Linked DNA regions of Oryzias latipes. The protein of the gene in region 1 interacts with the protein of each later gene in a biochemical or structural test. Links are inferred from orthologs where the notes say so. Each region holds a gene or a part of one and is shown in the gene's direction. Other genes may lie near its edges.

Region 1 (3,820 bases):
TTTGTTCAAATCTTACCACATTGTCACTTTTGAAAATGCTGTTTAACCCGCAAAGACTGGTTTCTGAAAACTCATAAACCATCAGCCATCCTTCTGTGTCGCAGTGTCGAGGGGTGCCACTCAATCTTTAACCGAGACATCCCGCTTTGATACTCAGGTTCGGAAGAGCGCGCCAAGCCGAGCTCGGAGCGATCGGATCCTTCCTCTGCGAATCCCGCCGAGCCCTTTGCGCTCCAGGTTCAACGTCCCGGCCGCAGCCACGTCACCCCTAAACCCCGGACACCCAGCACCATTCAGCGCGAGGCACTTTCACCAGGTAAAGCAAACCACTGAGATGGTTTTCACTTTCATTTCTTTTTCTTTCTTGCTTGCTTTTTTCCTTCTTTTCTTTCTTTCTTTTCTTTTATTTTCTTTGCTGCTTAAAACAGACCTGGAAAGTCATAAATGTTGCGTTCTATAGAACTGCAAACCAGCACAAATTAGCTAATTCTTTCCTTCACTAAAAATTCAGAAACAATAAAAGGAAAGTGAACGTTTCTTCATTTATTTTCCTTTGAGTGTGAGTGTGTTTGGAGGGGAGGGCATCTTTGCTGGCAAAAGCTGCAGCCAAAGGTTGATAAAGCCACTAAATAAGGAAAGAGACACAAAAAAACAGATAAATCATGATCTGTTTGTCTTTGTTTTTCTGCATATCCATAAACATGTTTTTCAATCATTGTTGTGTTGTGTACTAAATGAAACATCCAAAAACATAAAAATCTCTCATTGTGTATAACTGCATTTGTGTATGTGTGTTTTTTTACATTGTGTGTGAGGCCAGCTGATTTGAAGTCATCTTGTGTGACACGGCTGCTGTATTCAAACCTGCACCTTCATGTTTTCATCTGTTAGATCTATGGCATTCTGACAATGAACAAGCGCGCTCAGTTATTGGAACAGCTGCAGTTTGTCCAGTTGAAATGCACACCTCGAGGTTAGAAACTGTTTCCCTTCGCCTCATGCTGCTCACTTTTGTCTGACTCTGCTTGGGTTATCTGTCCACTACCTGGCACACACTCACACATGCATGCAAGAGTGAAAAGGGCAATCCGATGGTGGTGTTGGAGTCAAGAGGGTTTTACTTCTTTTGGTGATATGCATTGGCAAACCTTGAACTACATGTGCGTTTCTGTTTAAGGTAATGTGTGATGGTAACTGAGTGTGCTGAGTAAGGGCTGACAGAAGCTTAAGATGGTAAGACTTGACACTAGGTCCTTGAGGGGCAACAAATATTACCACAACAATCACAAAAAAGTTACACATTAACACAGTTAAAATCATTCAGTCATGTTGTAAGCTCCAATAATCGGACAAACCACAAAAGATTTTCATCTATTCTTAAACGTCTGCACAAAAAAAAAATCATGTTCAGCCCTGCTTCACCAGCTGGAGGCTGTGAGCTGTTAGAATGTGGCAGGTGCAGTGTGTGGGAAAACACAGTCACACTAATGCCCACTGATCTAGGGTTTGACCTACTGACACAGCACTGCATTCAGCCACATAGTTCATCACTGCCCTCTTGCCTATTTTACCTCTTTCTCTATATAGTCAAGTCAGTTTAGTTTTGTTCTTTTTAAAAGGTCCCTCTGACGCCCTCAGGTTACATGTGTATTTTAACACATGGGTTAAAGAGATGGTCACTCCTGGAAGAAGCAGAGGGGTAGAAAAAACGCGATGACGTCAAGCAGACGTAGGCCGAAAGCTTGACTCATATCCTTAATTACAAAAAAACTGTCTGTCTAGTATTGTCATTGAGTCGTAAAGCAGACTCGTGAATGGCTGCTCCTGTTGACCTAGGCCGCCTATTGTGTGTCATTGAGTGAAGACAGACGTGCATTTCTGAAAAGAATGCAGGAAAAGCGCGGTTTTACGCACGACTTCTTGATAGATTCATCACTATAAGTCTTTTTTTAATCACAATCTTAAATTAAGTATAATTTATTTTAATTAATGTAAATATAACAAGAAGAAGTTATGTATGTATATATATATATATATATATATATATATATATATATATATATATATATATATATATATATATATATATATATATATCTTGCCAGGTACCATTTTTTTTCGCAGCCTCATAAATTCGACTTTTAAGTTGCACATGAAGGACATTTATATCTTTTAAAGTTAAAATAGGCATTTAAACTTTCCTAAATTCCCAGTTGTTTTTTGAGGAAAAATTGCAGATTTCATCATGTTGCAGAACTTTTATTTTTGCTCAACTTATTGAAGCGTCGAATAATACAACTGAAGGGCTATTTCCTTGAGCGTTCCTGCACGGGAGGGGTGGATGGGGAGTCCTGCTTGGGTGGAGGTATGTGTGATGTCGCTAAAAGCAGGAACGACAGGTCCAGCATTTGACTAGACAAACATTACGCGTGGAGGTTATGGCGTTACGCGCGCATGCAGAGCGTCAATGGACGCAGCCGCGTGTTGACTTTTCTCTGCGCAGGAGCGCCGAGCAAACATCACAAAAGCCCACGGCCGCTCCGGCGCTCCTGGCCGCCTGCGCACACACGCGTGCACTCAGAAGCGCACTAACGCAGGTGTTGAGAATTACATAAGAGGCTTGGTATTATCGGACCGTAAAGGCTGCTCTGCGCGCGCAGTTCAAAGAGGTGGTGCCTTCTCCTATGACATGAGTTATAATTAAATCAGAGATTAAACTCAAGACACTGAATATATCTGCGTCCATATCCGCCTTTTTTTCTTGCTTTTGTACAGTATAGCATCCAACACCGCCACGGGTTTTCATTATTATTTCACATCTGCTTTGCCATCTGACTAACCAGAGCGCCTTCACCCACACGCTCGTGCACACACACGCACACACATTTGCAGTGGATTTGTTCCTTCTCTCATCAGCTGCATCTTCTCTCACCAAACTAACTGTGAGTGAATCAGCAATGTTTGAGATCCTGCTTGTGTGTGTTAGTGTGTGCACTCCCTATAGTGCTGCTATTCTTACCCAAAGCAAGTGCGAGAAATGCTCAAGCAAAATATCAGTCTATAGGAAGATTTTTTCACATTTATTGGACATTGTCTTTATCATTTAAAAAAATCATCACTTTAAGAGCTGAAAAACCGCCTGTTCCAATAGAGCTGAGCAGAAATTAGTCATTGTTGATTGCTGGCCCTTTATAGCACTTCCAATGTGTGCATGCATCTAATATAGTCTGCCTTTTCCCTGTAGATTTACAGTAGCAACATCTGTCCCCCAGAAGCCCTGCCTCATTTTTAATATGAATGTAACAAAACTGAATGTAAGATTAATTGTCTGCTAATGAATGTTCCTGTAAGCTACTCCTGTACTAACAATCTGAAAAGTCATGAAGCCCGTGGCTCCTCTTGCCATGCAGACCTAACCTCTCCCCGTGTTCTGTCTCCCCGGCAGACATGCCCTGTGTGCAGGCTCAGTATGGGCCCGCCCCTCCAGGCTCAGCGTACACTGGCCAGTCCTTCAGTTACCAGGGTGACAGCTACGGTTCTGACCTTATGACCCCTGACTACACCAAGTTGGACTTGAGTGGAAGCGAGATCTCAGCCGCTGCCACCACTTCACTGCCCAGCTTCAATGTCTTTGTGGAGGGGAGTTATGAGCCCAAATCTTCCTGCCTTTACCAGATGCCCCCACACAGGCCCATCATCAAAAAGGAGGAGGAGAGCTATCCAACTGCTCCACCACTGGAAGTCATGTCCTCCTCTTCCATGTACTTTAAACAATCCCCTCCTTCCACCCCCACCACCCCATCTCTGCCTCCACAGCCCA
Region 2 (4,503 bases), on another chromosome or scaffold:
CCTTGCTAATATTATCACGCACACCACCAGATATGGACACTTTCACAAAACACGTGCGCGCACTTAGAAGCTGGAGTACTCCCGTGCGTAAAAATGCGTAAAAGTGCTCAAACATCCCACTGGGGACAAATGATAAACAGGTATTTTGCCATGCATGCGCGTAAAGCTGGTCTACTCACTCACTGTCTGTCCAAAGTGAGGGGCTGAGGTCAACATTTCCAGAGAATGTCCAAATCGGAGAAAGTTTTGAATTCCTGAATGAATTTGTAGAAAGGCGCTTAGGATCATTATGTCAGCTTTATGGAGGACGGATTAAGCGGAGTCTAGATGCTACGCCTTGTACACGGTTCTCTCACAATGTGATCACTGTTCGTTTTATAGTGAACCCACACTATTTTAACACCTTGCAAACCCTGTCTAAACATGAAACAGTTTCAGCCATAAACATGAAAATCACACCGCTTTGGCTGCCGCTCTATAAGCCAAATCCTGTGACTGGATGCATGGGGACATTGATGTTGTCCTTATAGCCTCAGATCAAATGCAAGAAACTGCTTTTATGTGCCTAGTATCTTTTATGTTGCCATTCGATTGTAATACTAATACCAGGCTAATTGTTTAAATTGGGAGCCGGGACTGTTTAAAAAGGCTTGAGACATTGCTTTGTATTCTTTCATAACATTACCTTTCTTATTCTTTTTAGTTTTTATTTAAAAAAATTTTTTTGAGAAAAAGCAGCGAGCAGAGGATGCACCCAAAGACCCAAAAGCAGGGCCGCTAACAACAGGAGGGGGAGCGGCGTCACCCAGCAAACACCCGAACCAGCACCCACCCAAAAGCCCACTCATTCCAGCTGAGAGTATAGAGAAAAACGCATACAAATTTTCTCCCTTCAAGTTAATCTAGATATTTTTTTAAAGGAAAAAAAACTATGCAATAGTTCAATATCTTAAAGACATAAATTGGAAGTTGGCTAAACCCCTTTCGTTTTGCTCAAAAATGAATTATCTGATAAAATAAATTTTTTTAAAAGTCTTCGCTATAGGGAAATCTGCATGGAAATAATGTGCAGATTGACTTGCTTCCATTCAAAATTCCCGAGTTGTAGTCATTGGTTGTCCATTTGTCCCCCATTTAAAGCTCCCTCTCCCTCACTCCCTCCCCGTCTCTACTAAGCATCTCCAGTCTACATATCTTCTTTAGCTTTAACGAGCCTCGTTAAGATCGCAATAATATTCCACCCTCTAATTGCTCATTCCATTCAGCAGATAGGCGAGCATTGGCTTGTGCCTGATGCGCGCGGTGCGGTGGGAGGGTTGCTGTGGAGATCCTAGACTCTGATAACCCCCCGTGCGTGCTGCACAAGTGGTGAAAGCCTCGCGCTACGTACTGGCTAATGATTGGCACGCTTGACAGTGATTGGCAGGGCTGCCATGACAACGCTACAACGACACCAAGAAGACCAATAGAAAAGGGAAACAAAATGTTTCAATGCTACACTCAACGGCGGATTTAGGGGGGAGATATTATGAGGCTGGTGTCATTAGGCGATAGCCATTGAATCATTGAATCTTTTTTACTTACCGTATTTTTCGGTTTTTCTTTTTCTCGATAATTTTCTTTCTCTCTCAGGTCATTTCCATGGTTTTCAGATCGCCTTTAGAGCTTTATCCCTCCCATTTCTTCCTGCCTAACTTCGCTGATCGCCCTCTGCTCCTGGCGAACAGCGCTCCCACCACCAGGTCTCCAGAAGACTTGTCCATGTTTCAGCTACCGACCCTCAACTTCTCCCCGGAGCAGGTGGCAAGCGTCTGCGAGACGCTGGAGGAGACCGGGGACATCGAACGACTGGGCCGTTTCCTCTGGTCCCTGCCTGTGGCTCCGGGAGCATGCGAGGCGATCAACAAACACGAGTCCATCCTGCGCGCCCGCGCCGTGGTAGCTTTCCACACGGGGAATTTCAGAGACCTCTATCACATCCTGGAAAACCACAAGTTCACCAAGGACTCGCACGGCAAACTGCAGGCCATGTGGCTGGAAGCTCACTATCAGGAGGCCGAGAAACTTCGCGGTCGTCCGCTCGGACCGGTCGATAAGTACCGGGTGCGGAAGAAGTTTCCGCTGCCTCGGACCATCTGGGACGGGGAGCAGAAGACGCACTGTTTTAAGGAGCGGACACGGAGTCTGCTGAGGGAGTGGTACCTTCAGGACCCGTATCCAAACCCCAGCAAGAAAAGGGAACTGGCTCAAGCCACAGGACTCACTCCCACACAAGTCGGGAACTGGTTTAAAAACCGGAGGCAACGAGACAGAGCGGCAGCAGCCAAAAACAGGTCGGTGTTTTTACGCGCGGGAAGTAAAACACAAGAGCTCACTTTTCTGGGGGACAACCAGAAAAATATATATTTCAATATGCTGCAAGGTTTTCAAAAGCTTATCCTAGAAAATACTGACTGTCAGTCAGGCGGAAGCAGCAGCTGCGCCGACATTGTTGACATGAAGCCAAATCCGGATAAAAGCTGCACTTTTACGGCGGTTTTAAATTCACACTTTTTCCTAAATTTTAATGTACGTTTTGGCTTTTTTTTCTAATGTAAAAATTAAATGAATAGTCTTTAAAACTCCTTTATTTTAGGAGCCTAAAATATAAAGTCAAAATAACTTATGCCTATTAGATCATGTTGAAAAACATGAATGAAAACACAAACTAGAAAAAACAAACTTTTAAAAACTAAAAATTAAATTTTATTGTGTTTTTTTTTCAACCAGAAAAGTCCTTAATCAAAACAGGTAAAATTATTCAAAGTTATGAGAAAAGAGAAATCTTAACTTTAATTAATTTATCATGAATAATGTCATTAAAATATCAATATAATAAGCTAAAAATATCCTTTGGATTATTTTTAAAAATTGCAGTTGATTAAGAGAAGTAAATAAAAGGTGAAAATATTTTTGCAAAAATATTTGAATTTTTTACAGTCTCTAAAACAAAATCTGTTGCTTGGTTTTTCCACCTAAAACTATTTTGTTTGTTTTTTTAAGTATAAAATACAATTATTTTTTATGAACTATGGTGCCTTTGTTATATTCATGTAAAACATAGAGTGACTGAGCAGCCAAACGCACAATACTAATAAAAAGAATATTGATTTTATACTTTTCTAAAGAGAACAGGCGTCTAAGTCGGGCTGCGTTGTTGATATTGTAGTTGTATCATTCCGCTGAAATGCTGTAACTGATTGGAAAATACCCCAGAGAGCACTAAGCCATATGAACACTATTCTAATCTTTTTGATAAATGAATAGATCTATTTCGGCACTGACATTATCCCGTCGTGATGGAGTTATTATCGTGAGTGGACAAGAGATAAACATTCAGGATGATTGGAGTAACCACTCCAGTCATGCACTTCCATCTGAATCAGCTGCCAAAGCTTCTAGGCGGTTGCGTAATTTTGCAAAAAAATAAATAAAATAATAATAATTTTGATTTTAAAGTTTTTAGGTGTCAACTGAAAACAACTGAAGGGTTAGAAAATAGATCCAAGGACAAGGACAGAAAGTGTGGACAAAACTAAGTTGGGTTTTCTATTTTCCTCTGACACCAAACATCTCATTTATCCCGAAGTGTTGTGCGATCACAAGACGTGCTTTAACAACAACAACAACAGCAGAACTCCATTACATTTGCTCCAACATTTGCTGGTCTAAACAGCGCGGCGTTGTGTCCCCTGAAAGCTGGCTGCTTGATAAATAAAAGCATGCATGCATGGCTGGGGCCGGCAGGGGAAAAGAAAGGCGAGTTTGAACCCCTATTTTGCACTATGAGGAGGAGGAGGAGGAAGGGAGCGGGGGTGCACATTCTCAGGTCTAATTGCTATTTCTCTCGCCTTTTTCTCCTCCTTTTCTCCCCCTCCACCTCGCTTCTTTTCCTTAGGCTTCAGCACCAAGCAATAGGACCGAGCGGTATGAGGTCCCTCTCAGAGGCCGGGCTCACCCCTCACAGCTCGGCGGAGTCGCCTTCCACCGCGGCCAGTCCCACCACCAGCGTTTCCAGTATGACAGAGAGAGTTGATACTGGGACGTCCATCCTGTCCGTCACATCCAGCGATTCAGAGTGCGATGTATGATACGCAAGGGGGAAAAACACACACACACAAGAACAAACAAAAAGAGAATTATTTACAGGAAAAATGGACCTGAGAGGAAGAAAAAAAGACTTATGAAATATGGTGGATGAAAAAAGGACCGATTGATATAAATATTAAAATAAAAGAGATAAAAGCACGTCGGTTTTTTAAAGCGCTTCAAAGGACCCCTCCTCTTCATACCCCAACACTAATAGACTACTTGCATGATGTTTTTTTCTCTTTTTCATTTTGTAATCAGGGAAAATGCAAGATTTTCCATCAAGAACCAGAGGAAATAAAAACAGATCGTCTTGACGTCTTCTTCACATTTTTAACCCCCCCCCCTTCCAAACCCATCCTTGGATTTCAGTCC

What was found.
Region 2: the proteins of nr4a3 (region 1) and six3 form a complex in vitro, tested with the Homo sapiens proteins (3 studies listed by BioGRID). The link is inferred for Oryzias latipes from reciprocal best matches to the Homo sapiens genes NR4A3 and SIX3.

Annotation. Positions count from the first base shown.
Region 1 is NC_019874.2:17,605,575-17,609,394, forward strand, and holds part of nr4a3 (nuclear receptor subfamily 4 group A member 3), read left to right. Parts: intron 1-157; 5' UTR 158-316; intron 317-891; 5' UTR 892-909; coding exon 910-973; intron 974-3,445; coding exon 3,446-3,820. UniProt on the Homo sapiens protein: Transcriptional activator that binds to regulatory elements in promoter regions in a cell- and response element (target)-specific manner.
Region 2 is NC_019873.2:16,155,076-16,159,578, reverse strand, and holds the start of six3 (homeobox protein SIX3), read left to right. Parts: upstream 1-1,518; 5' UTR 1,519-1,641; coding exon 1,642-2,333; intron 2,334-3,937; coding exon 3,938-4,130; 3' UTR 4,131-4,503. UniProt on the Homo sapiens protein: Transcriptional regulator which can act as both a transcriptional repressor and activator by binding a ATTA homeodomain core recognition sequence on these target genes.